4 linked regions of the Arabidopsis thaliana genome follow. The protein of the gene in region 3 purifies or fractionates together with the protein of the main gene of each other region. This does not show direct contact. Each region holds a gene or a part of one and is shown on either strand. Other genes may lie near its edges. The genes, in order: AT4G15770, OLI2, YAO and AT4G17590.

The links.
Region 1: the proteins of YAO (region 3) and AT4G15770 fractionate together in Arabidopsis thaliana (co-fractionation; one large-scale study listed by BioGRID). This does not show direct contact.
Region 2: the proteins of YAO (region 3) and OLI2 fractionate together in Arabidopsis thaliana (co-fractionation; one large-scale study listed by BioGRID). This does not show direct contact.
Region 4: the proteins of YAO (region 3) and AT4G17590 fractionate together in Arabidopsis thaliana (co-fractionation; one large-scale study listed by BioGRID). This does not show direct contact.

Annotation. Positions count from the first base shown.
Region 1 is NC_003075.7:8,974,292-8,980,759, forward strand, and holds AT4G15770 (RNA binding protein), read left to right. Parts: upstream 1-3,603; 5' UTR 3,604-3,768; coding exon 3,769-4,332; 3' UTR 4,333-4,653; downstream 4,654-6,468. Other genes in the region: MO1 (monooxygenase 1), read right to left, coding at 1-16, 112-257; AT4G15765 (FAD/NAD(P)-binding oxidoreductase family protein), read right to left, coding at 1,492-1,742, 1,842-2,070, 2,324-2,522, 2,682-2,747, 2,850-2,920.
Region 2 is NC_003076.8:22,643,414-22,653,057, forward strand, and holds OLI2 (S-adenosyl-L-methionine-dependent methyltransferases superfamily protein), read right to left. Parts: upstream 6,105-9,644; 5' UTR 5,971-6,104; coding exon 5,374-5,970; intron 5,285-5,373; coding exon 5,221-5,284; intron 5,106-5,220; coding exon 4,972-5,105; intron 4,877-4,971; coding exon 4,793-4,876; intron 4,711-4,792; coding exon 4,636-4,710; intron 4,533-4,635; coding exon 4,461-4,532; intron 4,373-4,460; coding exon 4,299-4,372; intron 4,158-4,298; coding exon 4,105-4,157; intron 3,999-4,104; coding exon 3,889-3,998; intron 3,687-3,888; coding exon 3,618-3,686; intron 3,533-3,617; coding exon 3,458-3,532; intron 3,361-3,457; coding exon 3,268-3,360; intron 3,181-3,267; coding exon 3,101-3,180; intron 3,016-3,100; coding exon 2,916-3,015; intron 2,803-2,915; coding exon 2,483-2,802; intron 2,378-2,482; coding exon 2,329-2,377; 3' UTR 2,035-2,328; downstream 1-2,034. Other genes in the region: OPT1 (oligopeptide transporter 1), read left to right, coding at 9,575-9,641. UniProt on the Arabidopsis thaliana protein: Involved in ribosomal large subunit assembly, required for normal progression of rRNA processing. S-adenosyl-L-methionine-dependent methyltransferase that probably methylates the C(5) position of cytosine 2268 (m5C2268) in nuclear 25S rRNA.
Region 3 is NC_003075.7:2,740,914-2,747,400, reverse strand, and holds YAO (Transducin/WD40 repeat-like superfamily protein), read left to right. Parts: upstream 1-1,765; 5' UTR 1,766-1,879; coding exon 1,880-2,310; intron 2,311-2,519; coding exon 2,520-2,862; intron 2,863-2,954; coding exon 2,955-3,179; intron 3,180-3,276; coding exon 3,277-3,478; intron 3,479-3,620; coding exon 3,621-3,790; intron 3,791-3,914; coding exon 3,915-3,980; intron 3,981-4,094; coding exon 4,095-4,172; 3' UTR 4,173-4,469; downstream 4,470-6,487. Other genes in the region: DDB1A (damaged DNA binding protein 1A), read right to left, coding at 120-211, 299-358, 494-542, 1,010-1,113; AT4G05400 (copper ion binding protein), read right to left, coding at 5,393-6,145. UniProt on the Arabidopsis thaliana protein: Component of a nucleolar small nuclear ribonucleoprotein particle (snoRNP) thought to participate in the processing and modification of pre-ribosomal RNA. Essential for embryogenesis. Plays a critical role in embryo sac development and gametic cell fate.
Region 4 is NC_003075.7:9,798,746-9,805,804, forward strand, and holds AT4G17590 (NOL1/NOP2/sun family protein), read right to left. Parts: upstream 3,847-7,059; coding exon 3,828-3,846; intron 3,743-3,827; coding exon 3,668-3,742; intron 3,558-3,667; coding exon 3,376-3,557; intron 3,293-3,375; coding exon 3,224-3,292; intron 3,147-3,223; coding exon 3,069-3,146; intron 2,366-3,068; coding exon 2,264-2,365; intron 2,179-2,263; coding exon 2,098-2,178; downstream 1-2,097. Other genes in the region: LIL3:1 (Chlorophyll A-B binding family protein), read left to right, coding at 5,014-5,407, 5,506-5,643, 5,713-5,969; AT4G17610 (tRNA/rRNA methyltransferase (SpoU) family protein), read right to left, coding at 6,907-7,059.

The sequences.
Region 1 (6,468 bases), 6.2 Mb from region 3:
ACTCTTTATTCCTTTCCTACATTTTAAAAAAAAAATATACACACCAAATATTAATTTACATATGGAATTCATAAAGTTTGAGTCTCATTACAAAATAAATTAATAACAAACCTATGAAGAGCAATGGAAGTGGCGAGACCAGCGATTCCGCCGCCGACGATAACTATTCCGATTTCCTCCATTTCAAAGCTGAGATTTTCAGATCTAAAGTTTTGTTTGGGTAGTTGTTTTAATATCTGTAGTCCTATAGGTAACATGTAGTATAGTGTTTTTAATTTATTTATATAGAGTAGAGGAACAGCGAAGACTTTTCATTAAGACAATTAAATTACTTGGGAGACAATCAATTTACGTGAGTGTGGTGGGTCTTTGCGAGTCAAACAAGCGCTCTTTGTTTATGAAGTAACTTGACCTGTTGACGCAAGCCTATGACGCCACTTACATTAACTCGGCTTTTGGATAAAACAACTAGTTCCATCCAATATCAATTTTGTGTACTTGTTGTAATGAGTGTGACTCAATACTTATCTTTTTGGCTTTTCCTAGTATATCAAAAATCTAAACTGACAAAAAAAAAATCGATCTTCTATACTATTAAACTTTTGATATATATAAGAATAAAGATGGGATCATCAAAAAAAACATCTTCGAATTGAGCCTTTGCAATTCTGGTTTTCTCTAGATAAGTTTTCTATCACCTCCATTGATTCAGCTTCTACATTTTGAGTGGGCTACTGGATAATTTGACATTTCTCTCTACATTTTCTTGGTTCTGTTTATGTTATAATGCAGACTTTAAGTCTTTTATCAACTAGGGTGGGGTTTTTGTAACACAAATGATATGGACTTCTCTTCCTTCATCAAAATATACGAAAAATGTATTTGAATAATTATTGATTATTTTTGGTCCAAAAAACTTGAATCCAGAATTATTAATTGGATTAAAATGTTTTTGAGAATATTTTTTTGCAGATGATACCGCCCATAATTTTCTTAAATAAGTTTTTGATTGGACTTCTTTTGTCTTTCACAACTCACAAGTGAGAAAGACTAATATCATAGTTCTTTTAATAATCGAACAAAAATTATCAGAAGCGAACAAACAGGAAACATTCGCAAGAACAATGAGTAACCAACCTCATGATACAATCATCTCACGAAGCACACAACTCTCGCAATTTAGACAGTTCGTACATAAGATAAATTTATAGACTGCCACAATCATATCGAGTATGACCAATTTGATCACGAAACAGAATCATCAACATAACTACAAGCAATAGCTTCCTAACCGGCGAAGAAGCTGCTATTAAACTACCGGTAAGATAAGTTTGTGTCGAAAGCCCCACGAGTCTACCTCTTCTTTCCCTAATGTACTCATCAATTGCTTCTTCTATTTGCATCCTTGAAGAGAAGGAAGATACATTAATTATACCGTCTTGACCTAAATTTAACTTCCTCCACAAGCATCTAGCCAAAACAACACCGTCCTCAAGCGCAGCCGAACATCCTTGTCCTAAGAATGGGCCCATTAGGTGCATACTGTCTCCGGCCAACTGTCACGGTGCCACGTCGGAATTTTCCAGACAGAACATCCCAAGGAGCACGGTACCTTAAACGGTTGATATACAAAGAGTCCATATCACAATTCTTCACCATCTCTTTCCACTCTTCTGAGAATTCGCGGACTGATGCTAGTGCCAATCTTGCGATATCCTCTTGATTTTTTAAGAAGTTTGAGTCTATTTATAAAACAAATTATAAATACGTTAGTGCGTTATATGAAAACAATAGAAGTCTATGTATAGTATGAAATGTAGCATGACCGGGTTATTAATTACCTTGGGGACAATTTCGCAAAACAACAAACCAAAAGACGAGTTTGTGAGTTATAGGAAGTCGTCCGCTTACGACGTTGTCCATCTTGATTCTTATAAACTCTTGTCGGAATCCATGGTCGTCCGGGTAATTTGTGAACCCTCTGATGGCCCGCGAACCGAGGTCTTTAGTCGGGTTTAATCCTAGAAATCTAGAGACTACAGAATTTGACCCATCGCAGCCAATCAAAACCTAAATTAAAAGAAAAGTATATTATCAAAATATATAAGACCCATGCATTTCATGCTAAACATGTTGCTTTCAGTGAAAAACAAACAAAACACAAACCATTAAAACCGATCACGACCCATAAATGTCACTGTCGGCTAATATAAAGTATATACTAAAAAAATTCCACTACGGCATCACCTCAATAATTGATCAATAAATATATCTACTGTTGTTAAAACGTGCCTTTGCTTTGATAGCTTCTCCCGTTTTTAACGTGCACAATCGGAAACGATTTTGTTTCGTCGAGCTTAACCGACAAAATATGGCAACCAAGCCGGAGAGTGCCAAGAGGAAGAGCATGAGCCAAAGCTCGAACCAAGTCGTTCCTTAGTACACCTCTTACTTCTCCATAGGATGCTGGTCCAACCGATTCTCTTCGTTTAATACCTTTCTCGATCAAAACATCTCTTATCCTGTTTTAGTACCATACCGGAAATCATTATAACTAGATAAGGTTAGTTAAAATATAAATATTTATATACTTACTGATGAATTGGGAGAGACTTAAGACGAAGCTAGCTTATCGGCGACACCAAGTTGTTGAAGAGCAAGCCAGCCGTTAGTCTGAATACCAAAATGCTGCTCCTTCCGATCTTACAGACTCTGATCTCTCCAACACAACGCTCTTTATGCCCTTCCTTTATAATCATATTTGTATGTTTAGTTAGTCAATAGTTCATGTATATGTTTTCTAATTTAAATTACCTTATAATTGAGAAAATGAGGAGATTATAGTGAACCTGTGAAGAGCAAGGGAAGTTGCAAGACCAGCAATGCCTCCTCCCACGATTACTATGTCCAATTCTTCCATTCTTCTATATTTGTATTTCCTCCAAATTTTATGATCGTTATGTCCTGCAATGTCGTGGACTTATATGTGGGGGTTGAAGCCACATGGCAATATGGCATGTCGTGGTTGTACCTTGACCCGCGTATTTTTCGTTATCTATACATATTCATTCACAGCGATTTTTATTGGTATTTGTCGATTCATATATCAATTAAACTGTGTATCACACAGATCGTTATATGAAACCAATTCTGAAGAGAGAAAAAAAAGAAAAGAAAAATTTAAGCCTTCTTGTGTTAGAATTACTAATTTTAATAATTTATTTAATATTTTTACTGTATTAGTGATTAAATGTATAATTTACTTAATCTTAGAAGTATATATATATATTTAAAACAATTATTTTCTTACACGTTATACAATATTTGTAATTAATTGTATTTATTTATATTAGAAATATATATACCTTTTTCTAAAATAATATATTTTTGTTTTGTCAATTGCCCTTATAATATTAGTAATTCATTGTATGATTTCCTTATAATATTTTTACACATGAAAAAATCTCTAACTAAACATCTTTTCAATAAACTACATGAACTATCAAATTTGTTATAACTTTCAGTTATCCTCCAAAGTCCAAATATTCAAAGTGAATTATTCATGGGTTGGATTTAACAAAAATAATAATTTCGAGGTTGAAATGACAATAGATATTTTTAAAACAAAGGACCAAAGTCGAAATAACAAAACTCATCGGCCGCATTAGGTTTGGTCCTAAATCCCTAAAACCCTAAAAAAACACAATCCCTCTTAGAAACAGAGAGCTTCTCTTCTTTCTCCATTATTCATCACTTTCTTCCCCGAAGATGCGTCCTTTAGACGAGACCGAGACAACCGTCGTCTTCGAGAAGCTCTTCAAATTCGTCGGCAACAACCTCAAGAAGATCGTCGAGAACCCATCAGACGAAGGACCCGAATCTACACCCGGCAGCTACTGCTTCCGCCTCCAGAAAAACAGAGTCTACTACGTCAGCGAAGCCCTCGTGAAGCGAGCCACAAACATCTCCAGGAAAAACCTAGTCTCCTTCGGAACCTGCATCGGGAAATACACTCACGCCGGTAGTTTCCATCTGACGATTATGTCACTCAATATCTTGGCGGCGAATGCTAAACACAAGGTATGGCTTAAACCCACTTCGGAGATGTCGTTTCTTTATGGGAACCATGTCTTGAAAGGTGGATTAGGGAGGATTACTGATAGTATTGTTCCTGGAGATGGTGTTGTTGTGTTCTCGATGTCTGATGTTCCGTTAGGGTTTGGGATTGCTGCGAAGAGTACACAGGATTGTAGGAAATTGGATCCTAATGGTATTGTTGTGCTTCATCAGGCTGATATTGGAGAGTATTTGAGGGGTGAAGATGACCTTTGAAAGTTTAAAGGTTTTGTCTTTGTTGTGTCTTAGTTTGATTCTGCTTGTTGCTTTGAGTTTTAAAGTATGTAGCTGTTACAAGTTTCGTGGAACTTGGTTCTGGATCTATGAAAGTCTCGATTTTTATAAATCTGTTTTTGAGGTGTTTTGTGAGACTCTTGAGTATGTAAAAGCTAAAAAATTTACATTCATATGCGAATTTTCAAATCTGTAACCTGATGATCAAGATTTGTATTGGAGACAGGTTGAGTTTCCTGATATTGCTTTGATTTTTATACTTAAAAGCTTCAAATTCTTCATCAAGCTTGAAACTTTGGAAATTTACATACATATGCTAATTTTCAAATCTGTAACCCTAATGATTCAGATATGTGTTGGAGACAGATTGATTATGCTGATTTTTGAGACAGATTGATTATGCTGATTTTTGAGACAGATTGATTATGCTGATTTTTCTTTGGTTTTATAGTCCAAAAGCTTCAAATTGTTTTCAAGCTTCAAACTTTGGCCTTTGAGTATTAAGGGTATGTGACTGTCACAAATTTTGTGGAACATGGTATTGTATCTATGAAAGTCTCAATTGTTCTCAAACAAGAGTATCGAGAAGCTACAATTGTAAGCTGATGAATCAGTTTTCTGTATGGAAACAGATTGCTTGCTTTGATTTAAAACTTCAAAACTTATTACTGGGCATATAGGTTGTGTACTGCTGCCAAATAATCTGGAGAAGAGATGTTTAAACCAATTAAGTTCTGAAATCTTTCTGAAACAGATTGCATAACTTTTTGGGAAAGATATTGAGGGTGTTCTTTGAATAAATATGTTGTACACTGAAAATTTCCCACATTAAGAGTAGGGGATTGATATTCATCATCTTTTCAAACGTAATCTTGTAAAGTTCAACTTCAACCCAAAGTCTTGGCCTTTGTACGTTTGTTCCTCACTTGGGAATTGGGATGCAAAGCTGTGTTGCAAAATGTTTAGAAATAATATTTACTGTTATATAGTTTTTCTGGTATCATTAGTCACAAAGCCCGTCTAGCTCAGTTGGTAGAGCGCAAGGCTCTTAACCTTGTGGTCGTGGGTTCGAGCCCCACGGTGGGCGCTTTGTTTTTGTTTTTTTAATCCAAATTTGATCATATTCTGATTTTAGTTTTGAGTACCTTGACTAGTGACTCTTGAGCATGTGTTTTATGCAAGTTTTAAGATATCCTCGCCTTTAATTACGCTACGTAGAATATGTGAATTAGTATGGTACACCCAAAGAAAGAACACAAATACTTTATATAATAATACAACATCCAAAGTCAAAACCTTACAATACATATGGTACCATTTTGTTCCCCTCTCTCTCTCTTTACTAATCTCTCTACTGAAGACTTTTGTCTCTGTTTGTCGCCTGTCTCCGCCAAAAGCTCTAAGTCTCTAACCATCACGTAGAGTAATTTGTTGTGTCTTCAATCCGTGCAATTAAATCCATGACAAACCGATATCCAGATTATGAGAACAAGTAGTAGCAAGATCCCAAGAACCACCAGTTTTATCTTCATGTTCTGGTACCACAATTTCCTCCTCACCTGTGTCCCTTGGTTTTCTTGTATTCCCGCGCCTTAAAGTATACAAATTAACCCTTACATTAAAATGGCTATCACAGAAAGTCTATGAATTTAATGTTTGGAGTCAAGTTTGCCTTTACCTGAGAGCGTAGATTCTCGGTCTTGTCAGTAAGAACTGTTAGATTTTCCCCTCTGTCGATTGCCTGAAAATGGATCAACAATATTGGAGGTGTATAAAGCACAGTGATTTTTGCAGACTTATCATTGTAAAAGGTAAAGCAAAGGAGAATGATTTGTTGCTTGTCTTAAGTGTGGAGAAAGACATAAGAGAGTCAAATGATGAGCATTACCTTGTCAATATTCTCCAACATTATACTTTTAACTTCTGAAACCTGAGCCTTGACTTTTATTAGTTTTTCAATCTCCTCTGCATGGTCAACAATATAATTCATGTGTTCCTTCATCACCGGCCTGCAATATTTTAATTTTACCATTACCTTGTATTCAATATATTATAGAACATTTTCCTCAAATATTGAAATGTTTTCTAAGTACCCGAACTCCTTGTTGAGACTTTTGG
Region 2 (9,644 bases), on a different chromosome or scaffold from region 3:
TTTTTTTACTAAACACACCAAACAATTATTTAAAATTAGACTCACCATTGTTTGAAACTTGAGAGTTCCAAAAGATGCCCCTAAAACTTTTCAGCAAATTCTTATTTATTGCCCAATAATAAGTTTCCTTAGATTCTAAGATTATATTTCATGTATTTTATTTTTTTTCCCCCACATTTAAATCGAACAGAAACAATGTTTTTTTAGAAATGGTTCAACAGGTAGTTGACAAACCAGAAGATTGTTCAACATAAAAGAACACAAGTGGGTATAATTTGTTCATTTCCTCATATCTCAAATAATTCATATTTTAACCTCATGCTCTTATTAGATCCAATTACTGCGTCAATTTTTAATCGAGAAGCTCAGATCCAATAACGACAATTGCTACACGATCGGCTTGTGACGTGAAACGCGAGTGGGGAATCTTTCTTCATTATAATCCCATTTCTTTAGGTTAAAAATACTGCAATAATAACAAAATAAAAGGTTTAGTTTATTAAAATGTTTTGTTTACCATGATACTTGAGGGATTAAGGTTTCTAAGTTTCTTCATTACAATTTAAATCATAGCTGGACACTGTCACTAAGGATGCTTTAACATTTAAATGGTAAGAATATCCATTTTTATACAAGTTTCTAGGTTTACTCTTAGATTTAGATCGAGTCCTCTCAAAGTCTTAATTATATTATTTTCTTAACAAATTCATAGAGATTCAATGGTTAAAAGATTTATCGTGAAAATTAAAGATTCGAGTGTTCCTACAATGAGATTAATCATTATTGGTGGTAGTTGTGAATGCTTTAAATAGCAAAAATACCTAGTTCTTTTATGTCCAAAAAAACTAGTTTTTTTTTTTTGGTAAGCTCCAAAAAAACTAGTTTAGAGTTTGGTTTAGATCTCTTTGTTGTAACTTATAAATATAATGATAGAGATTTCTATTTATTATCAATCAAAACAACTTCTACACGCAAATTCGTTTACCTAATATTTTTTAATATTTTAATGTTCTTTCCAGTTTTGTTTTTGTTTCACTAAAGTCAGCCAAAATAATTCAATTATGATGGGCATATTATAAAAAAAATTACAGTAATTTTGTTCTTTATTTCCAATAATATGTCATATACTGTACACTTGTTTTCAGTTAATTTCTGTTTGATTAGTTTATTATCCACTCTACTTTAGTACAACCCAAATGTCAGAACATAGTCCACATGATTTTGTTTGACGTAAAGTTATAAATAATAGTCCACCTGATTTATTTTATTATCTTCTTTTTGTTTATAAAATAACCATCTTTTTCCCTTACAAAAATGTTCTTTATAACAGCAGACAAAAAAAATGTTCTTTCGAATATAATAAAATCAGGAAGAAAGTAAACAAGAAAAATATATGAAATTATTCATACCATAATAATACAAAAATTGATTGATTGGAACATATAATCGACCAGTTAGATATCTTTAATGATTTTCGATTATTTGAAATACATATTTATAAAAAGAATGAATAATGCAAATAAAAAAAGAAAAAGGAAGAGTTAAGGATAAATAATCAAATTAAAATTGAGAGGTCCCCAAACAAGATCTGACAAAGATAGATGAAGAATGGGTTGTCATGTTCTCCAACACAAGTCCCACTTTGGTGTGAGAGTTTCTCAATCTCTCTCTCTAACTTCTTACAACCAATCAACAGCTCACTGCCAAATCCCTAATTTTTTTTAAAAAACAGTTCTCTGAAAAATAAGAAAAACTAAACTGAAACAATTCTGAGCCTTTCAATTTCATATATTTTGTTTGGTTTCATACAATTATGGTTTGATATAGTTTGGTTTGAGTCAATTCCAACATATGAAGTGATGAATTAACAAATTAATTAAAAAGTTGATAATTAATCATTTGAACTTAAAATTAACAAAATTTAGTATATTCATTTCGGTTTGTTCCAACTACATTTAGGTTAAAAAATGTTGGGTTTTTCGAAATAAAAAATATTTAGGTTAGTAGTTATAGTTTTTTTTTTGGCCACCCCTAGTTTGGTTCTTGAGTAAAAATAACAGCAATTTAGTGATCGGCTCAAGAACACAACTTAACTTTGATTCTCTTAAAAGATTTTTTTCTGAAACAAAACTTTTGGACATTTAAGGTGGTCTGCCCACGGAGTCCAACAGAGTGCTCACTCTGGGTGCTTTTAACGTTGCACAAATCTCGTCGTGAATAAACAAAAACAAGAAAGCCAATATATGGCACAAGCCTACTATAACCATAGATGATAACGTTTTCGCAAATGTTTTTTCTTCTCTTTGATGAAAAAACACTGAATCATCATTACTTCTCCTCCTTCGCCTTCTCCCGCATGGCTATTCTTTTCTCTTCCCTGCAAACGTGATTATACAAATCATTGTCAAGCAACTATATATAAAAGACAAGTCTAAAGCATTTTGTTCTCTCAGTTCATGGATGGGGATAGATATTTATATACCTAGCTTGAGCTATTTCGTTCTTCCATTCCCGTCTCTTCTTCTTTTGCTTCCTTGGTTTAGATGGCTCTTCCACATTTTCAGATTTTGATTTCTTATCCTTTTTACCTCTCTTGTCCTCCTTTGATTTTGCAAGTTTTTCCTTGTTCTTTTTTTCTTTTCTTTCCTTAGGTTGCCTAACGGGAACAGAAGGCTTCTCCGTCTCTTCAATGGCCTCAGCTTCATCATCATCATCACTAGACACTTCAGCTTGCTCTACAGTTTCTACCGCATCATCATCACCTTCTTCTGAAGATTGCTTCACGTTGCTCATTTTCTTCAGCTGTATAAAGAAAAAGAACACAAGAGCATTACATCAAATTGTGTGGATTATATCAACTATTAGAGTATTGACAAGTGCATGGTTGATCGATTACAATGGCCAAAAGTGAGTACCTTTGCCACAAAAAATCCGTCCATGTTGTGTACATGAGGATAGAAACGTCTAGTCTTGTCCAAAGATGGCTGAAACCGGTGTTCTCTAAATCTGGTAAATCTGATGAAGAGAAGAAGGACAAAGAGTTAGAGACATTATTTAATGTTCCTTTAAATATCCCTCAGATGAAAAACTTGTGCATTACCCTTTTCTGCCAAAATCGAGACCACACGTAACGAGTTTAACATCCCTCTTTTTGAGGGCATAGTCAATGACGGCTTCATTCTGCACAATTTTTTCATACATAAAGAAAAATTAGGATGAATCAAATACAAAGAAGAAAATTATGGGGGAAATTATCAGTTAACTAACCTCAGTAACCATAATTGAACATGTTGAATAAACTATATATCCACCGGTTTTGGAATTGGCATCCACCATATCAATAGCAGCGAGTAGAAGTTGCTTCATGAACAAAAAAGGGTTAACTTAGCATGTGTTTAAGAATGAAAATTGGTCTGTTCAGATATAATAGAAGTTATTTAAGAAGGTACTGCCATACCTTTTGCAAGTGAGCAAATTTCTTTATCTCATCCATGGTTTTCGTTATTTTAACTGATTCATCTTTTGATATAATCTGTATTGGGTAGCAGAGGAGATTTAGTAACAAGGATCTAAAACTTAACTACAGTTTAACAGAGAGTAAGTTCGAAGTTCCTTACTCCAGTCCCACTGCAAGGCGCATCCAACAATACTCTATCAACCGTGTTCTGACCTAAAACCTTGGGTAGCTGACAGCAGCAAAGATAACGAAATAAAGAATAAGTGCAAGAAAATAAAACTGGGCAGCATGTTGAGCAAAATTAACCAGATCAAATTTTATAATTCCAGTCATTTCAGTAGTGTGAATTCAAGTAGATGTTACGGGGTTTTTAACATTTTGTGAACAGGTAGCAGAAATTCAACAGAAAAATCAATGTTCAAGAAGCTAACCTCTCTTCCATCATAGTTACAAACTATGGTATTTGTGACCCCCATACGATGCAGATTGGCAGTTAGCGACTTAAGCCTAGGTACTTTCATCTCATTCGCATATATTAAGCCTGGTAATAGCATCATTATAAACATTACTTAAACCAAAAAAAAAAAACATACGACAGCCAAATAGAATATGGGGATAAGAAGCAAGAGAAACCAATGAAGACATACCCGTATTTTTCATTAGAGCGGCGATATAAGTTGTTTTACCACCAGGAGCAGCACTGCATCGATATAAAATCTTGTTATAAACTCACACAACAAAACAGTCAAACACTAGAATTGGAATCATCACACGCCAACAAGGTCAAACGCTTTTTAGCTGCAGCGATTGTTTAGTAGATGAGTAGATGATGATAACTTACGCTACATCCACAATCCGCTCATTCTCTCGAGGGGCAAGGGCCATCACTGGCAAAAACGAACTAGCACCTTGAAGCTGCAAATACACCAAGTAGAGAGACTTAAGCAAACAATTGCATTCCATAAAGGTGAAGAAAAGGGAAAGACATCAGAAGATCACTTACCATGTAGTACCCAGCCAGATATTCAGGAGTTGCACCAATTGGGACTTGTGAATCATAAATAACAAGTCCAACCTGCAGTAGGACATCAGTAAATAAGACTTAGGACAGATCAACAATAGAAGATTCATAAAAATAGGACTGACAGAATAGAAAATAGTAAGAACAAACTACTTACTTTAGACCACTTGCTTAATGGGTCTAGATTGACTCCTCTGTTCAAAAGTACATCAGCAAGATCCCGTCTTCGAGTCTAAAGCAAAACATACATCACCATGAAATTGCAGAACTTGAAAGTCATAAGCTACAACCCAGTAAGTCACAACCAAGTTCACCTTAAGTGTGTTAGTTCGGATGGACGTAGGCCTTTGCTTTTCAAAAGCTTCAATAAGTTCCATAAGTTCACCAGGAGGAAACATCTGCAAGAGAAATCCCAATTCAACATCCATAAGTAAAGAATATCAGCAACATCCTATCCATACTATATCAAAGGAAAGAAACTAGAGAGTCTCACCTCAACCAAAGTTCCAATAAGAAAACTGTTATAACCATAATAAGAACCGAGATCAGCTTTGAGCTGTTCAACACAAGCTTTCCTCGTGGTGTCTTTTGGCCTGAAAGCCTTAAAATTTTTAAGAGCTCTAACAACTGAAATGTTAAATGAATCAACAATTAGAACACCAATCCAAACCAACCTAGATAAATACCATCACACCAACATTTCAACAGTAATAAAGCAACAAAATTTGGAAATGTTACTAACTCTCTTCAATTCTAGTCTTAAGTAGAGGAAGATCTGGTGGACCACGAGCTTCTTCTTCAAGCTCCTGGACAAATGAAAGATAACAACAACAGTTAGATATATGCTAAAACCAAAATCAAACAGAGTAAGTATTACACATGAAAAAAATGTTACCTCTTCAGTTGGTAGCCTAAACGCATCATGTTCAGGTTCTTCATCATGTACATCATCTTGCTTGATAAAATCCTCCAGTTCAGCAGCAGCATCTTTCTTCTGCATTGCTAAGTCTCTATCAATAGCATCAGATTTCGCCACAATATCGTCGTCGTCAGAGTCAGCATCCGAATCCGCATCTAAAGATCCTTCCTCATCTTCATCGCCGCTACCTTCTAGAAAATCGTCACCCAAAGTCTCTTCATCGTTCTCTTCCTCATCATCAGAGAATAACTGATTAGACCCGTTCTCTCCATCATCAGATTCATCAATCTCTTCTGATTCCACAGCTGGAGAAATATCATCTTCATCAGAACCATCGGAAACTTCGTCATCTTCATCAGAATCATCGGTAACTTCGTAATCTTCTAGAGGCTCTTCCTCCACAACTTCCTTCTTCTGCTTCTTCAATGGAGGTTTGTTCTGAGATTTCGCTCCTTTCTTCAACATTGAAGTTTGGGGTTTCATTGGAGGGGTTTTGGATTTGGTAAGCTGCTTCGTTGGAGGGGTTATCGATTTCGTCGCAGCCTTCTTCTTGTTACGAGTGAGGGCAGGCATGGCTACAGGTTTGAATTAGGGTTTTCTCGCGCGGCCAGGGTTTAAGAGAAGAAGTAGAAGATGATGATTGTTGGAGTACACAAAGGTATATTTGACTGGTGTCTATTATTGGGCTTTTGCCTAAATAATTATCGGCCCAATTTAAAACAAATTGAGCCCAATAACTATATGGTGCCTTGTTATTGATTATTCGATATGTTTATTCATACGCACACAACTTTCAAACTAGTGTGAACACGCAATATACTTTAAAATTTTGTTCCACAACCAAAAACAAATATGTCTCGATCAATAAACAAGACAACGAAACGGTGTCAACTTCGACACGAATCGAAACAACACGATCATCGATCTTGTTGGTACAAGCGTGCTCTTGAACTTGTGAAATAAAAACAACCAAATTTTTGTTTTTCCAAAACAAACAAAAACATTTGGAACAAAACATTAACACGGTTAAAATTCTCTCTACAAAAAAAACTTGTAAACTTTCACAAACTCTTGTTTTTCTACTTTTAGTTCTCTTTTATCTTTAGCGTTGTGACAAAATGTAGTTCCGAGATTTGAGGCATTAATTAAGAAGTTGAAAAGCATATTGGCGAAGTTGACAAAGATGGTTGACCACGTTTTTCCACTAATAGTAGAATAATTGGTTGGGTGGAAATTGGATTTTCAGTGGTCCAATTCTCAAACTTGTTCATCGTCTTTTTCTAACAAGTTGATGCTAGCTATTGTCATCTTTTCTTTTGGGACCGAGAGAGAAAGAAAACTAAAAAATCTTGAGAACTTGCTCATAATCTGTTAATGGTTTTGTCAATTTCGCTCCCATCAGTCAACGGAAGTTATAATCAATTTGTCAAAATCTCTATGACACGAAAGCACCTTATCTTGTACTAGCATTGTGTGAAATGGGTCGAGAATATATATTGTCATTATTCATTAGTCTTCTGTCTTGTGCGTACAAACTGAGTTGATATCGGCTCTATCTAATCACTAAGCAATCATAATAGATCAGTAACGTATCTAATGATTCTGAGGATAAACTAGTTGCTAAATTAGATTATTACTATTATCAGTTTTATGTATATTTACCAATAAAAAGATTCACTGTTTTATGTAAAAATAATCTTACGAGAACGAGTTAACGTTTAACCCATTCGTTGAATACATGCGTGCATGTAGAACACTCAAACTAAAAATTGGTTATGTCATATGTGTCTTGACCGATGAGATATATACGACTATATAGGGGGATTGGACTACAATCATTTAAGTTGATTTCTTTTCTATTATATATAGTGACACATTACATGTGACGATATGATGTATATAATAAAGATATTTATTTGTCCGCAAACGCATGATATCAAATGTAATATACATATCAATAACGCGTTTATATTAATCTCTAATACGTACAACATATTACAATCTCTACAAATATCGACATGCTTAAAACCAATAACGCGTTCAGTAGAACAATTTAATGCACGTTCACCAACCATTTTAACATCTTATGTTATTTACACTCGCGTAGTTCATAACATTTGGTTATTACTTATTAGTATATGGACCGGCCCTGCCGATTCAGACCTAATGCGACGATGTTTGAGACATCTTAACAATATGACTATGCTATGATGTTTGATCACCACCTCTATTATATAATGTAGCAAGATGATCAATTATTTGAATACAGTTTTAATTTGTTTGAGGACATACCTAAAATGCTCATATTTTTCTCATTGAAATTACCTTTGAGTCGGTGTTATTCATAAAAAAAGAAGACCATTTATTAGCTACATCATTTTCACATGACGGCTAGAAAAGTCTCATTCAAGAATCTGGTTGTGAAAAGCTAATAAATATATTAGGCCTATCGAGCCAAAAGTTGTTACACATGATTTCAAACATCAAATAAGTCATCGGAGTCAATATTAAAAAGTTCTACGTACATTAAATTCATAAGTTTTGGCAGTTAGAGACATGTCAAGTTGACAAGTTTCATCAGAACATGATCTTTTAGTCTTAGAGATAATTATGTAATTAATATGGCAATAGAGCTAGCTGGCAATAGATCTTAATTATCTAATTAAAGATGAATCACAGTCAAAATCGTTAGAGCTGGCAATAGAAACGTAAAAATGAACCTAGACGACAGTGCAATATCTAACCATGCATGGACTTTTAATTTACAAAAATAGAATATAGAATCAAAACGCAACGATTTAGGAATCTATTTATAGAAATAAAGAATCTGTAATAACTGCGATGGATATCCAAATTTTTTTATTTTTGTTCTTCTCGTCCTATAAATATGCCATCTTCTTGGAGTATTTCTTTACAACATTCTCTAAGCTTGTAATCGCGATTTAAGGCTTGTCCACCACATTACCACGAGTAGAATTGACCAAGTAAGTTTCCAACAAAACTTAAAACCTTTTCTTTGTTTTACGACAAATTCTTGTTATTGTGGTCCATAGGTTGTTTCTCACTTTCTTGCAAGTGATTTTTCATGATTTTTAAGATTTACGATTCATTAAATTACTTTACTAAAACTCAGATCGAATTGAGTTCTTCCATCTGGACTATCTTATATAATTAGTTAGGACTTTCTAATCCATTTTTAATTCAATTTTGTTGTATTTTAAAAGTCGGTCTACAAAATATTGTTTAAACTTAATAGCATGATACAGTACTTCAATATGGTGATGAATTGGCAACGAAAAATTTAAGTTGAATATGGAATACGCAGATAATTGAACAAGAAAGCCACTAAACCTAAATGCTGGTTTTAGTAAGTAGATAGATAACCTTTTTATTCTACTTGTTAGTTTATTTTTAACGAAATCTGAATTGTTGAAATATAGCTGAACCAATGACCCAATTCAGTCTTCAAATATCACTAGCAAACGTAATTGACATGACCATGGCATGTTTCAAGCATATTAGATTTCGATACGTCTTAACTTCTTAATTATCGGGACCAGCTACATACATTTTTAGTATATGTCATCATTATCTTTACTTCTTTTTTGTATCATCACAATTATTTCCATTTTATTTTTTTGTTCTTCTTCATGTGCAAAAGAAGAGGTACTTTGATAAGATTCCAGTCTATAGGATTCAATTAAGATACTAATTAAATACAGTATATACAGAATCTTGAGTTGTCCGCTTTCAAGATTCCAATACAGTTTACAAAATTCTGAATTAGTTATTCTTGTTGAGTCAATACTTTTGAAAGAATGTTGACCAAAAAAAAAAAAACCAAAGAAAACGGATCCTTATTTAACGGTCTCCTTAACCTTAATAATAGTAAAACGGTAAAAACCAAAATTCATGTGGTGTAAATTGTCTAAAGTCTGTATTTTTTTTTATTGACATCCATTTTTTTTGTGTCGAAAGTCTATATATGAAGTCAAATTCATGAACAAATGCTTCTAGGCTAAAAACGTTATCGTAATCTTTAATCTTCAGGCTTCTTTTCTAAAATTCCGACTGGTTACCGAGGGCTAGAAAATCCGGTCACCGTCGCCGGAGACAACCTCGGTTTCTAAACGAAACCATCGTGAAGGACGGAAAAAAGGAGCTTGAAGACAAAACAATGACGAGCGTTTTCGACGAACATAAACCCTCCGATGACTCTCACGAGTCCAAGATCGTCATCAATGGTA
Region 3 (6,487 bases):
TAACAAAAAAATGATAAGATAACGGCGAACATGATCATGAACTAAAAGAAAAATAGCACAACTGGTTGGTTAACATCAACTGGATGCATGGAAAAAAATTTATCTTTTGGAAGCTATACCTTGTAATAAGCTCAGAGGACTCAGGATCCCATTGAAGAACACAGAATTTGTATCTCTCAGTTGCAATGAACAAAAAGTCTTGCGCTTCGCCCTACAAAAGACGGTGGACAATACTATCAACATTTTAACTCATTATTAAGACCATGACAAAAGAACACAATAAGAGATATATACTCACATGGGGTCGGAACAACTCCAGAGTAGCGATTCTTCCATATATAGGAACGTCCAACATAGGCTGCAATATAGGAACATCCAGCAGATTCTTATATTACTAACAAAACAAAGCATGACAACAAAGTTTTTGAACTTTATACTCTAATGTACATGGAACTTAATCCATATAAGCTTGACAGAATAGAGATGTATGTACCTGAAGTCCTTGTGGGGTAAGCAAATGGATCTCGATTCGAGTACATTTCCTGAGAACAGATCAACACTGCTGTCAAACTAATCTACTAATGGATCTGATAGATGTTACAATTTAAGGGGACAATGCTAAATCGGATAAATGAGATAACTTTCAAACAAATTTACAGTACTGATAGCTAACGATAATTGAAAATCCTCCATATCAAAAAAGGCACGATCTTCAAATGTAATTTAGTTCAGGAAGTAAAAGCCATACCAAAAAAAACACAATTCTTTGTCACAGTTTCAAAAAATCCACCTCATCAAAGAACCCAGAGGCATTAAAATCCTTATAGTCATCTCCCAAACTGAAATTGAACTACAATTTTGTTTGCAAAGTGGGTAAATTTATGAAAATTAACTCGTGATGGGAAATTCATTGAAAACCCTAAACCCAAATCAACAGCTGCAATTCAAAAGGGGACTAATTGACAAACAAAAATTGATAACAAATAGAGGTAGGGGGAGAGTTTCGTACGCGACAATGAGATTGAGCTCTTGAGGACTTGTGAAGTTGCCAACGCACGAGTGAGTGACACTGGTCGGTTTGTGAGCCGTAACAACGTAGTTCCATGAGCTCATCTTCCTCTTCTTTGTCTCCAGGGAATTTGAGTTCGACTTTCTACGCGAGGGCCCTCGAGGAAGCTTCTAGATTTCTGAATCGAGCTTTCGGAATTTTAACATAGAGAAGTTAGAGAGAGAATGAAAAGCCAAAGGAGGCGAAAATCGAACAAGGAAGAAGAAAGACAACTTTCGACAAAGACTGGTCGGTCGGTTTTGGTAGACAATTGAAATTAGATGGATGGTCCGGTTCGGTATACTATAAGATTAAAAACAGTTTTAAATTCAGCTAAACCGAACTCATTTGATTTTATTAAACCGGAATCATCCGATTCGAGTTTGTAAAAAATACCGAAATTGAAAACACTAAACAAAAACTGTATTAAACTGTTACTGAAATAAGAGAATCTCCCAATTCGGTTTACGTACTACTCTTCAGAAATCAGAACCAAAAATTCAGAAATCGGATTGAACCAAACTTAAATTGACGGTCCGGTTAGTCTTCGGCTCTACAAATTAAAGGCCCAAGTTTCTGCTTTAAAAGAACGAAATAGTTAATGGGCTCAAACCATAGACCAGGTAAGTCATGGGCTTGGTTAGTCCGGGTCAACCCGGTAGACCCGATTCCTGAAGAAAACCTAGTGGAAGGTTTAAAGTTGTAAACTTTCCGACCAAATAAACAAAATCGTTTTCCAGCTTCTTCCGTCGCCACTAAACCCTGAGGCTAAACCTAGACGAGTCAAAGTGTAAAATCGTTAAACCCTAAGAGGGAGTGAGAGAGAGAAGAATGAAGTACAACAACGAGAAGAAGAAAGGAGGAAGCTTTAAGAGAGGAGGTAAAAAGGGTTCGAATGAAAGGGATCCATTTTTTGAGGAAGAGCCGAAGAAACGGAGAAAAGTCAGTTACGATGACGACGATATCGAGTCTGTGGACTCTGATGCGGAAGAGAACGGATTTACTGGCGGAGATGAAGATGGGAGAAGAGTTGATGGGGAAGTGGAGGATGAAGATGAGTTTGCTGATGAGACGGCGGGAGAGAAGCGGAAGAGATTGGCGGAGGAGATGCTGAATAGAAGGAGGGAAGCGATGAGGAGAGAGCGTGAGGAAGCGGATAATGATGATGATGATGATGAAGATGACGATGAGACTATTAAGAAGAGTTTGATGCAGAAGCAGCAGGAGGATAGTGGTAGGATTCGAAGACTTATTGCATCGAGGTAAGGAAGAAATTTAGTACCTCAATGTATTCAAATTAGATAGTTTAGGTTTGAGATTGTTGGTAATTTAGGGTTTGTGGGTAGTTAGTGTTTTAGGGAGCTGGTTTAATTGTGAAGAAACTTAGTGATTTTGTACATTTCTTAGGTCAATTTGATATCTTTGAAGATTGGTTGATAGTAGTATTGATTAAAGTTTTTCAATGATTCAGGGTTCAGGAGCCACTAAGTACTGATGGGTTTAGTGTTATTGTCAAGCACCGACGATCTGTTGTGTCGGTAGCTTTATCGGATGACGATTCTAGAGGATTTTCAGCTTCAAAAGATGGTACTATTATGCATTGGGATGTATCTTCTGGTAAAACTGACAAATACATATGGCCAAGTGATGAAATTCTCAAGTCGCATGGGATGAAATTGAGGGAGCCTCGTAACAAAAATCACAGTAGAGAATCTCTTGCTTTAGCTGTTAGCTCTGATGGTCGTTATTTGGCCACTGGAGGAGTTGACCGTCATGTTCATATTTGGGATGTTCGTACCCGAGAGCATGTCCAGGTAATGATAATAAATTTGGTTTTTGTTTAGTGTTTTTTTTATTTGTTCTTCATCAAGTCTTGCGCTCAGGTATTACAATTATGTGTCTACAGGCCTTTCCAGGTCACCGGAACACAGTTTCTTGTCTATGTTTCAGATACGGAACTTCAGAACTCTATTCTGGTTCATTTGATAGAACTGTGAAGGTGTGGAACGTAGAAGATAAAGCATTTATAACTGAAAATCATGGACACCAGGGTGAAATTCTAGCCATTGATGCACTGAGGAAGGAGCGTGCACTTACGGTTGGAAGAGATAGAACCATGCTGTATCATAAGGTAATAGTTCTATCCTCCATGTAAACACTGTTGGAAGATATCATCATAAGGTTTCTATTATTATTCTGTATTTGTAAGTCTTGTTATATGATTATAGGTGCCTGAGAGCACCCGTATGATCTATCGAGCTCCTGCATCGTCTCTTGAGAGCTGCTGTTTCATCAGTGATAATGAGTACCTGTCTGGTTCGGATAATGGAACTGTTGCTCTTTGGGGCATGTTAAAAAAGAAACCGGTGTTCGTTTTCAAGAATGCACATCAAGATATACCTGATGGGATTACCACCAATGGAATCTTAGGTGAAACCTAATTTAGATCCTCCCCATTTCATCTCTGTTGCAGTTGGATCTTGACATTGCAGTATATAGTTATAAAACACTTTTGTTTCGTTGCAGCTACTGATGCTCTGAAATATCTAATTCTTATTTATTTGCTTAACAGAAAACGGTGATCATGAACCAGTCAACAATAACTGTTCAGCAAATTCTTGGGTCAATGCAGTTGCTACTAGTAGAGGCAGTGATCTTGCTGCATCTGGAGCTGGTAATGGTTTTGTGCGTTTGTGGGCTGTTGAAACTAATGCAATTCGACCTTTGTACGAGCTTCCACTGGTAAATTTTCGTTCACTAGTTATATTCCTTAGTGTTGTCTGATGAATCTGTTGTTTGTGACTGTGATTAATGCATTTCACTTCACCAAGTAATAATCCTTGCAATGCCTTGTTTGATCTTACAGACTGGATTTGTCAACTCTTTGGCTTTTGCAAAATCGGGTAAATTTCTGATTGCCGGTGTTGGACAGGTATGTGATCATCTCTTATGTTCTCTTCCCTCTTCTTTTTTTCTATCTTTGTCCTCTTGTCTGTGTGATTGCTAATCTCAAAACTGATCGTGTTTTGTGAAATCGACATGGCAGGAAACTCGATTTGGAAGATGGGGATGCTTAAAATCTGCGCAAAATGGTGTCGCAATACATCCCTTAAGACTGGCATAAGTATTTCATTGGGATAAATGAAGCGTTGTTATGGATAGTTTTGAGTTGCTAAAAAGCCAAAGATCTAATCGCAAGTCATATAGGGATTACATTTCCTTGTAGCTCTTGAAGTTTTTGCTCCCTTTTTTGTTTGTTCCTTGTACCATTTTTTCTTAATACGAGAGATAAGAACTTATCATTTTGAGGCTCTGAAGAATCAAAGAGGATAACAGTTCCCAATTTTTTCATTCTCTCAGTAAAGCTTTTTGTTTCGTTTTCCCAAATGTTGAAGATAAGTATATGAAAAGGCAAATTATTAAACCAAGATCCATAGTGAACACAGACTTGATCGTAATTTATCCGGCGAAAAGAAGATTGCTTTTCCAAACAAAAAAGACAAGAGCCTACTACTTGAATGAATTCTCTTAAGTCAAGCTTAGAATCCCTAGAGACAATTTCTTGATGTCTCTTGGTCTCGTTGCTGCTCCATTCTGACTAATAGCTTCAACTGGATAAGAAAAACCAGCAGAGAATTGATAAGAAAGTTCCAAATATCCAAAACATACATAGAATACCACAAAATGAAGACTTGAAACAAGAAAAATGCAAACAGCATTGAAAGAATAACTAAACAAGAACATATCCTGCAAAAAAAACGAAAATGATACATAATAATCCAAAGACTCGAGCCTATATGCAGAGAAGTTCCAGAGGAAGGTCATGCTTCCAAAAGTTTCCATTTTAACATTGCAAACACTAACTCATGTACAAGTGAGTGATTCTCATTCACTTATTTGCTAATATGCATATAACTCGATCTCAAACTAACCAATAAGTATCATACTACCTGAAATCTAGCTAACCATCAGTTTTGAGATATTTTCTACAACAAAGTAAACCCAAGAACACAGCTTTGACATCAGAGATCAATACTACCAACCATCAATCCTAAACCCTGAATCATTCCATTGTTCGAAAAACAAACTGTTAAATCTCATATCCAAATCAGAAACAAGAGAAAACGATAAGCATAAGACAAAAATCTCTAACCTTTATTGACTCATCTCAACTTCTCTTTATTTCAGACACTTTCTACAACAAAGTAAACCCAAGACTCAGTAAACTACTAACCATCATTCTTAAATCCTGAATCATTCCATTGTTCGAAACACAAGCATTCAAAGCTCATCTCCAAAGCAAAAGCAAGAGATAAGACAAAATCTCTAACCTTTTAAACGAAATCATCTCAACTTCTCTTTACTTGAACTCTTCTTAGCTGCATCCATAACCTTCTCAAGATACCCTTCAATAGGCGGTGTAAGAGTAGCCATACCTCGATTCGCCGGAAACGGTGTCAAATCAGGCTCTAACGCCGCCTTCTTCAGATTCTCCGGCAATGCCTCAATAGCAGATTTCTTCAAATTCAAAAGCGCAGTTTCAGCTGCACGACGCTCTCTATGCTCTCTCATCAACACTTTACTATACTCCTTCGCAAGTCTCTCTCCATCTTCTTCCGTAAGCTTATACTTAGGCAATTCCTCAGCTTCAAAAATCCCTAACGAAATGTAATCCAAACCTGGCGTCCCAATTCGCATCGGCTCATCGGTGACTCCCATTGAAGCAGCTCCTCCTTTCTTCTGGATCTCCATATCTCGTTGCTTCTCTTTACTAATCAAACCTAGCTTCTCACGTTGCGCCTCACGCTCGATCTCTTGGGGGGTCAAGTAGCGAACAGGACAAGGAGCGTTTAAGCATTGCTCGTAGAGTTTCTGCTTCTCATCGGAAATTCTACCTTTTCCTTTAACTGCTTCCTCTCCTTCAACAGGTGCTCCGCCGCCGCCACCACCTTTCTTGATGGAGAGTTTGTTACGCTTCAATGGCTGACCTGTCTTCAGCTTTGCTTTTCCTTTAGGAGTTCCACTTGCGGAGCATCTTTGGATAAGATGGTAACTCAGTGATTCGATGATCGCTTTTGGTTTCGTAACTCGAATCATGCTTCTGATTCACCTGAGTTTCTGATTGCTTTCGTCTGAAAATGTTGCTTGAGTACAGAGATTAGGGTTTTCGACTCTCGACTGTGGAAGAAGAACACTGAACTAACGACGTCGTTTTACATCAAGTTAAATAAATCACGATGTCACAAAACTGTAAATTCAGCTTAAACCGAGGGTTTTCTTGTCTTTTAGAAAACTCCAATTTGGTTTCTTGGTTCGGTTTTCCATTTCTTTGTATACCGAATGAGAACCGACGTTAATTTTGAATTGATTTGGTTCAATTCGATTTAATTTTTGGTTATTGTTTCGGCTTACCACCACATAACCGAAGCTTCTTTCTGA
Region 4 (7,059 bases), 7.1 Mb from region 3:
AAGAAAAACAAAACAGGGTGGATTCATGTTTAAACCAAAAAGGATGATCATCATATTATCATAATGTATACACACAAGAAAGAACTCGTAGTAATACAAATTACAAAGTCCAAAAGATGCAAAATAAAGTGTGAAACGAATCCCTAAATCAATTGTGTACCTGTGCCTAATTCTAAAGCTAGTCATTTTGTTTTGGGCTCAAAAATCAAAAACCAAAACTCATTGCATAATCTAGTTCACTACTTATTACAACATGTTTTCTTGTATGGTTTGATACCAATATTTTGATATGCTGATGAAACAATAACCTTTTCCAACCTCTCTTGTGCTCCAAATCATTCATACTACAAATAATCGTCGTTGATGGCTTTATGCTCAATGCATTTAAAAAAAAAAAAGAGAAACTGGTCGTCTCACAAGTCCATCAAAACGGTACTTTCAGGATCTCTCTATATGCACCGGATTCATATGGCTCCAATGGAAACAAATGCTACTTGGGTGAGAGTATTCGCACGGTCCATGTAATCTTTGGCGCGTTTGTGCTAGGCCCGTTCTCCTATTCTCCAAAGCCTACAACCCTCCCTTTCGACAAAAGCACATCACCATTCCATTGGTCGCTCATCCAAAAAGGCAATATTGAGGATACATTCGACCTGCTGCTCACCTTGCTATTTTTGTTTCATTTGGGCTGGCTTCTTCGTGATCTTGCTTGGATATCGAGGTCATCGTTGGGCAAAGCACACCGACATTTTACCTTGCTTTTCAGTTGATCCTTTTCTAGTGTTTCAATTCCAGGAAAAAATATGAAGAGGCCCTAAAGTCCGAACACTCCCTTCAAAAAGATAACCCTTTCTTATTTCTTGCTTACCTCAAGATGCACTCACCTATGCTGTATTCTTGTGTTTAGATTTTTGTCGAAGACCTTGTTGATCAGCCAGTGACTCGATGCATCTCCTTAACCACACAATACCTTTAAAATGGAGAGACTCCTCGACTTGAGCAAAACAACATGAGTCGTACCACAATTTCAAAAACCTATAAATTGAAGAGTAGGAGAAGAAGAATGGTCGGCCTGATTCATGTGTGTCTAGCTAGGGCTGAAAGCTGAAACGTCTTTTAGGAGGAGGGGAAGAGGCTATTTTGTTTTGGTATTTTTTATGCAGGATTTTGCTTGATGATGTTTTGTTATTTTTATACGCACACGTATACTATTAAGTAACGTCGTTTTGTCACGGCCTTGATCCTTTTAATAGCTTCAAATTTGTTTCTACTACTAGTTTCTAACGGGCTAGCAATTAATGCTTCAATTATAGTGGGTTAAAATGTATAAATGATCCTATAACTTAGTTTAATTAATACTATAAGTCTATAACTAAGTGCAAAAGCGTGGTTATAAAAGGAACACACAATTTAGGTTTGGTTACGGCCTTACGGCTATAATGTGGTGAGTTTTTTAGCCGAAAAAAATATCAAAGCCGTTAAATCGATGGAGATTGGCATAAAGTCAACCAAGCATGTCTTCCCTAAACGCATTAGCAGAGATTATACCTGTTTTAAATTAAATCATCAGTACAAATTAAAAATATGGAGCAAATAAACTTATAAACAAGGCATACCATCAGGTACAATAAAAATATGATAAAGAAAAAAATAATGGCTTTTGCATGTCTACAATCGTTTCATTATTCTGTGCATCTAATGTCATTACATCGAACAAGGAACCAAGGTTTTGAATCTACAAATGCATCAAAAAAAACCTTTTAAATTTAAAGAGCTACCCATATATTAAAGAGGATGGGAAGACTTTAAAGTCCACCTTCATTGACAAGTCCTTGCTACAACCAGTTGTGAAAAAATCAACTACATGTATACATTCATAAAATAATACTTATTGTGAATCTAGAGGAAGAAAATATGCATACTTACCGTTGACCAGTTTTGTGGCAGGAATACCTGAAATCTTCGGTCCAATCCTCAGTCCAAAAGTTGTTGAGCAAGATACATTTTGCGAGTCTTAAAGAAAATAAGACTCATCATAACAATGCATAACCTAATAAATTTCCTAAACACTTGAACAATGGATAACCAAGTTTACCTTTAAAGTATTCTTCGTATATATGTAGACCTCAGCTTTTCAAACGCCTTTATTAGTTTAACGAGTTCTGCAAGACTAAACGTCTGACAAGAAATTTCAGTTGATGATAAATGAGTAATTAGCAACAGAGATAGGAATGTCATGGAGAATAAAGTCAGAGAAAATCACTGCCGCCAAAGTTCTAATAAGAAACCTATTGTACCCATAAAGAGAAGCAATATCATCTTTAAGCTGGTCAACATAATCAGACATGTGAACGCCTTCTACTATCTATAATTATATCCGACACTCATATTCAAGATTGGTAAAGACACTCATATTCAAGATTGGTAAAGAAGTTGATGTGAGCGTATCTCGTACAATTAAGTTGTATAAGATGCTATTATAATAACCGATTGTGACAAATCTACATTTTTTAATCCGAAATTCACTAAGATTAACAAGTACTAAGTTTAGAGTCTAATATAATAGCATTTTTCATCATAACACATGATACAAATCATACTTGAATATCAACTTGATGTACCCTTTGGTCATCATGTTATATTATAACAAATACAATGCATTTTATGCTTAGGCATCAAAATAAAAAGGCATACTTTAGAATTTATTTTTAGGCTTTTATTTTTTAAGAAAAATATTATAGGTCTTTTTTATAAATTCATTTTGTTAATCTTTATTTTCTCCATATATTGTGGTATTTAAAATTTTAGATTAATAAAAAAATTAATTAAATAATTTGTTAATGAATTTAGTTTAGTAAATTTTTGGTTTTTTTTAAAAAGTTAAACCTTAAATTTCTTGCAAAATGGAAGATATTCTAAGGTGTACATTGCTTAGATTTGGATTACAAAATTTTAAAAAAAAAGTTTGCTTAATTAATCAGATAAATCTGTTGGCTTTGCTGTCAAATGAGATAATTATGGTTAAAAACATAACCTCTCATTAATTGTTAAAGCCAAGCAAGTTTTACCTTTTGCAAAACACCAAAGCGTTGTATGTCAGCTTCTTCGTTAATGGACATTTTGATCGATCCAAATTCTGATATTAGCTGCATAGATAGAAGTTAGCATTTGAGTTAAAACCTGACAATTCAGTTAAAACATGACAGACGAGTTGAATTTTTACTCCAGTTCTAGTTGAAGGCGCATTCACCAACACCATATCCTTTGAGTTTATATGGAAAACCCTAGATAGCTGAACGGGAAGGAATAATAGAAAATTATTTCAGAACTTTTATTACCCTTAATATCATCAATAGTGAGGTTCAAGAAGCTAACCTTTGTATTGATATTGTAATTGGAAACAACTGTATTTGTAATCCCCATTCGATGGAGATTGGCATAAAGTGAACCAAGCAAGTGTTCAGTAGACGCATTAGCAAATATTATACCTTTTATTACCATAAAGCGCCCAGACAGATGTTCAGGAGTTTCCCCAATGGGAAGACTTTCAGGTTCATCTTCAATGACAAGTCCATGCTACAAGCAGTTTTGAAAGAATCAAGTACATGTATGTATGAACAACATAATACTTGTTGTGAATCTAGAGGAAGAAAATTTGCATACTTACCGTTGACCAGTTCTGTAGCAGGCATACGTGAAATCCTCGGTCCAAAAGCTGTTGAGAAAGATATATTCTCCGAGTCTTAAGCAAAAAAACAAAACTCATCATAAAAATGCATAATCTCAAAACTTTACTAAACAATTGAACAATGGATAACCAAATTTACCTTTAGAGTGTTCGTCCATATATATGTCGGCATCGGCTCCTCAAACGCCTTGATTAGTTTAAAGAGTTCTCCAGAGTCATATTCAAAATGCCTTGATTATGCGACGCCTTGATTATCCGACACTCATATTCAAGATTGGTAAAGAACTGAAAGTGAGCTTATCTCGTACAATTAAGTTGTATAAGATGCTATTGTAACAACCGGTTGTGACAAATCTACATTTATAATCCGGAATTCACTAAGATTGTCTTAACAAGTACTAAGTTTAGAGTCTAATATATAATAGCACTTTTCATCATAACACATGATACAAATCATACTTGAAAATCAACTTCATATATCCTTTGGTCATCGTGTTGCATTATAACAAATACAATGCATTTATGTATAATAAATCAAGCCCGACATTCCACACAATCAAGTGAAGTCATGGCTTAGGGCATCAAGGTAAAAAACATATTTTAGAATTCATTTTTTAGGCTTTTTATGTTTTAAAAGAAATATTATGTTTTCTTTACAAATTTATTTTTGTTGAGCTTTCTTTTCACCATACTTTATGGGATTCAAAATTTTAAATTAATTAAAAATTTCTTCAATCTTCTTTGGCTTCACAAAGCGTGTAAATAATAGTATAGCTCATTACCTCTCAACCTCTAATTGTATTCATGGAGATTTTTATTCTTAATCAGGTCGTCAACCACCTTGGTTACAAAAACTACTTTGTAAAATCTCAATTGGTTAATATAATTCAGTTTGCAGAAAAAAAAATTAATTAAAATTTTAATTAAATATATTATTAATGAATTTAGTTTAGTACAATTTTTCCTTTTAAAAAGTTAAACCTTAAATTGTTTGTAAAATGGAAAATATTGTAAGGTACATTGCTTAGTTGAATACAAAATAATAATAAAAACTTTGCTTGATTAATCAGGTAAATGTGTTGACTTTCTTTGTTTGATACCCTCATAACAACACCAAAATACTGGGATGGGCTTTTAATACGAGCCCATGAAGATAACAGTCACTTTTTTGTTTCTGTATGTGTAGAGGGAAAAAAAACACGTTACGTAGTCTCAATTTGGGAGAAAGAAACGACATACATGTTACATCTTTAAACGATAACAAGTCTATTTAGAACCACTAGTTGTGATTTGTGAAACTCTGAAGTAAAGAAGAAACCACAACAATGGCGTTGTTCTCCCCGCCAATCTCTTCTTCATCTCTTCAAAATCCCAATTTCATTCCCAAATTTTCATTCTCCCTCCTCTCCAGTAACCGCTTCTCTCTCCTCTCCGTCACTCGAGCTTCCTCCGACAGTGGATCAACCTCTCCCACCGCCGCCGTCTCCGTGGAGGCTCCTGAGCCCGTGGAAGTGATAGTTAAAGAGCCTCCGCAATCAACACCGGCGGTTAAAAAGGAAGAAACCGCCACCGCTAAAAATGTCGCCGTCGAAGGTGAAGAGATGAAAACAACGGAGAGTGTTGTCAAATTCCAGGATGCGAGATGGATTAATGGAACTTGGGATCTGAAACAGTTCGAGAAAGATGGAAAAACCGATTGGGATTCTGTAATCGTTGCTGGTTAGATTAGAATTAGATCCTCGTTAAGTTTTTTTGCTCTGTTACTTTGGTGAAAATTCGAAATTTGAATTTGATGTTTAATGTGTTTTGATTTGAAGAGGCAAAGAGAAGAAAATGGCTAGAAGAGAATCCAGAAACAACGAGTAACGACGAACCAGTGCTTTTCGATACATCGATTATTCCATGGTGGGCTTGGATTAAGAGATACCACTTACCTGAAGCTGAACTCTTAAATGGTATTTGTTTCCTCTCTCAAAAGATCAAACACATACACAAAGAATGTTACTTACTCTTACTCTTTGTAGGTCGTGCGGCGATGATAGGATTCTTTATGGCTTACTTTGTCGATAGTCTTACCGGAGTAGGACTTGTTGATCAAATGGGGAATTTCTTCTGCAAGACACTATTGTTTGTGGCTGTGGCTGGAGTTTTGTTTATTCGTAAGAATGAGGATGTGGATAAACTCAAGAACTTGTTTGATGAGACTACATTGTATGATAAGCAATGGCAAGCAGCTTGGAAAAATGATGATGATGAGTCATTGGGTTCTAAGAAGAAGTGATAACAAAGATTCTTGCTTTCTTTTTTTGTTGTTGTTGTAATTAGGAGATGAACTTACCAAATGTAATATCAAGAGATTTGAACAATGTTTCCTCAGATTACCGTTAATCATGTCTAGTCTCTACTTAACTTAATCTAATTAGAAAACAAAAAAGGCCCAATAAGAAGCCCAATTTTCCAAGTTTATTTTCGTTAGTTATATTTATCCCACATCGACAACAGCTCGTAAGTGAGATAAATGTTTTACCAAGAATCTTTGGCTTTGGCTACCACGATATTGGCTCTGGCCACAATTTCTCATTGTTTACCAGGTTGCTTGACCGATACGGGTTTAGGAAACTTGACTCTGAGCAAAGGGAATTTGCTGATGGTGACTTTGTGAGAGGTAAACCTGAGCTTATCCGGAACATATATAAACGCACCAGAGCTCAAATACTAAACACTAAAGAAGGGAGAGAGCTGCTTAAGCAAGTCATGGAGATGAGGAAACAGAGGAGAGAAAAGATGAAGAAAGAGATTACGAAAGCAAAGGAACTAGCTGATCGGTTGCACCATGTACATATTTGGAACATACAATGATGTTTCGCGATTTGGAAATTTATGTCAAGACCAGGCTTTGATTACTCTGCTTATAGTTCTCCTATTTGATATATTTCCCTTTCCAGGGTTAGGTTTTTGATTGTATGTGCAACTTATTAATTGTGGTATAATTTGAAAACTTTAGCATGTATGTCGATTACAAAGTATGTATCAATCTTGCGATGAAAGATTATGTGAAGTTGTGAACTAATCATCATTGGGTTCAAAACAAAGTTTCTTCCTTTATTTTTGGTGTAATTATTCAAACAAAAGGCTAACGAGATTTGAAGATGTTTTCTCAGGCATACTTGATTCTAAAGCTTCTTCAAGTACTCACAAACATATAAATTTTGGAATTATCAAATGCGTTGCTGCCGAGTGTATTCCCAAAGGGCAATGGCACCACTGACATGAACATTGAGGGACCTAACAACTCCAAGTTGTGGGATCTCGATACAAGCATCCAATATATGGATTATATCCACTGGGATGCCTTCCTTTTCACGACCCAG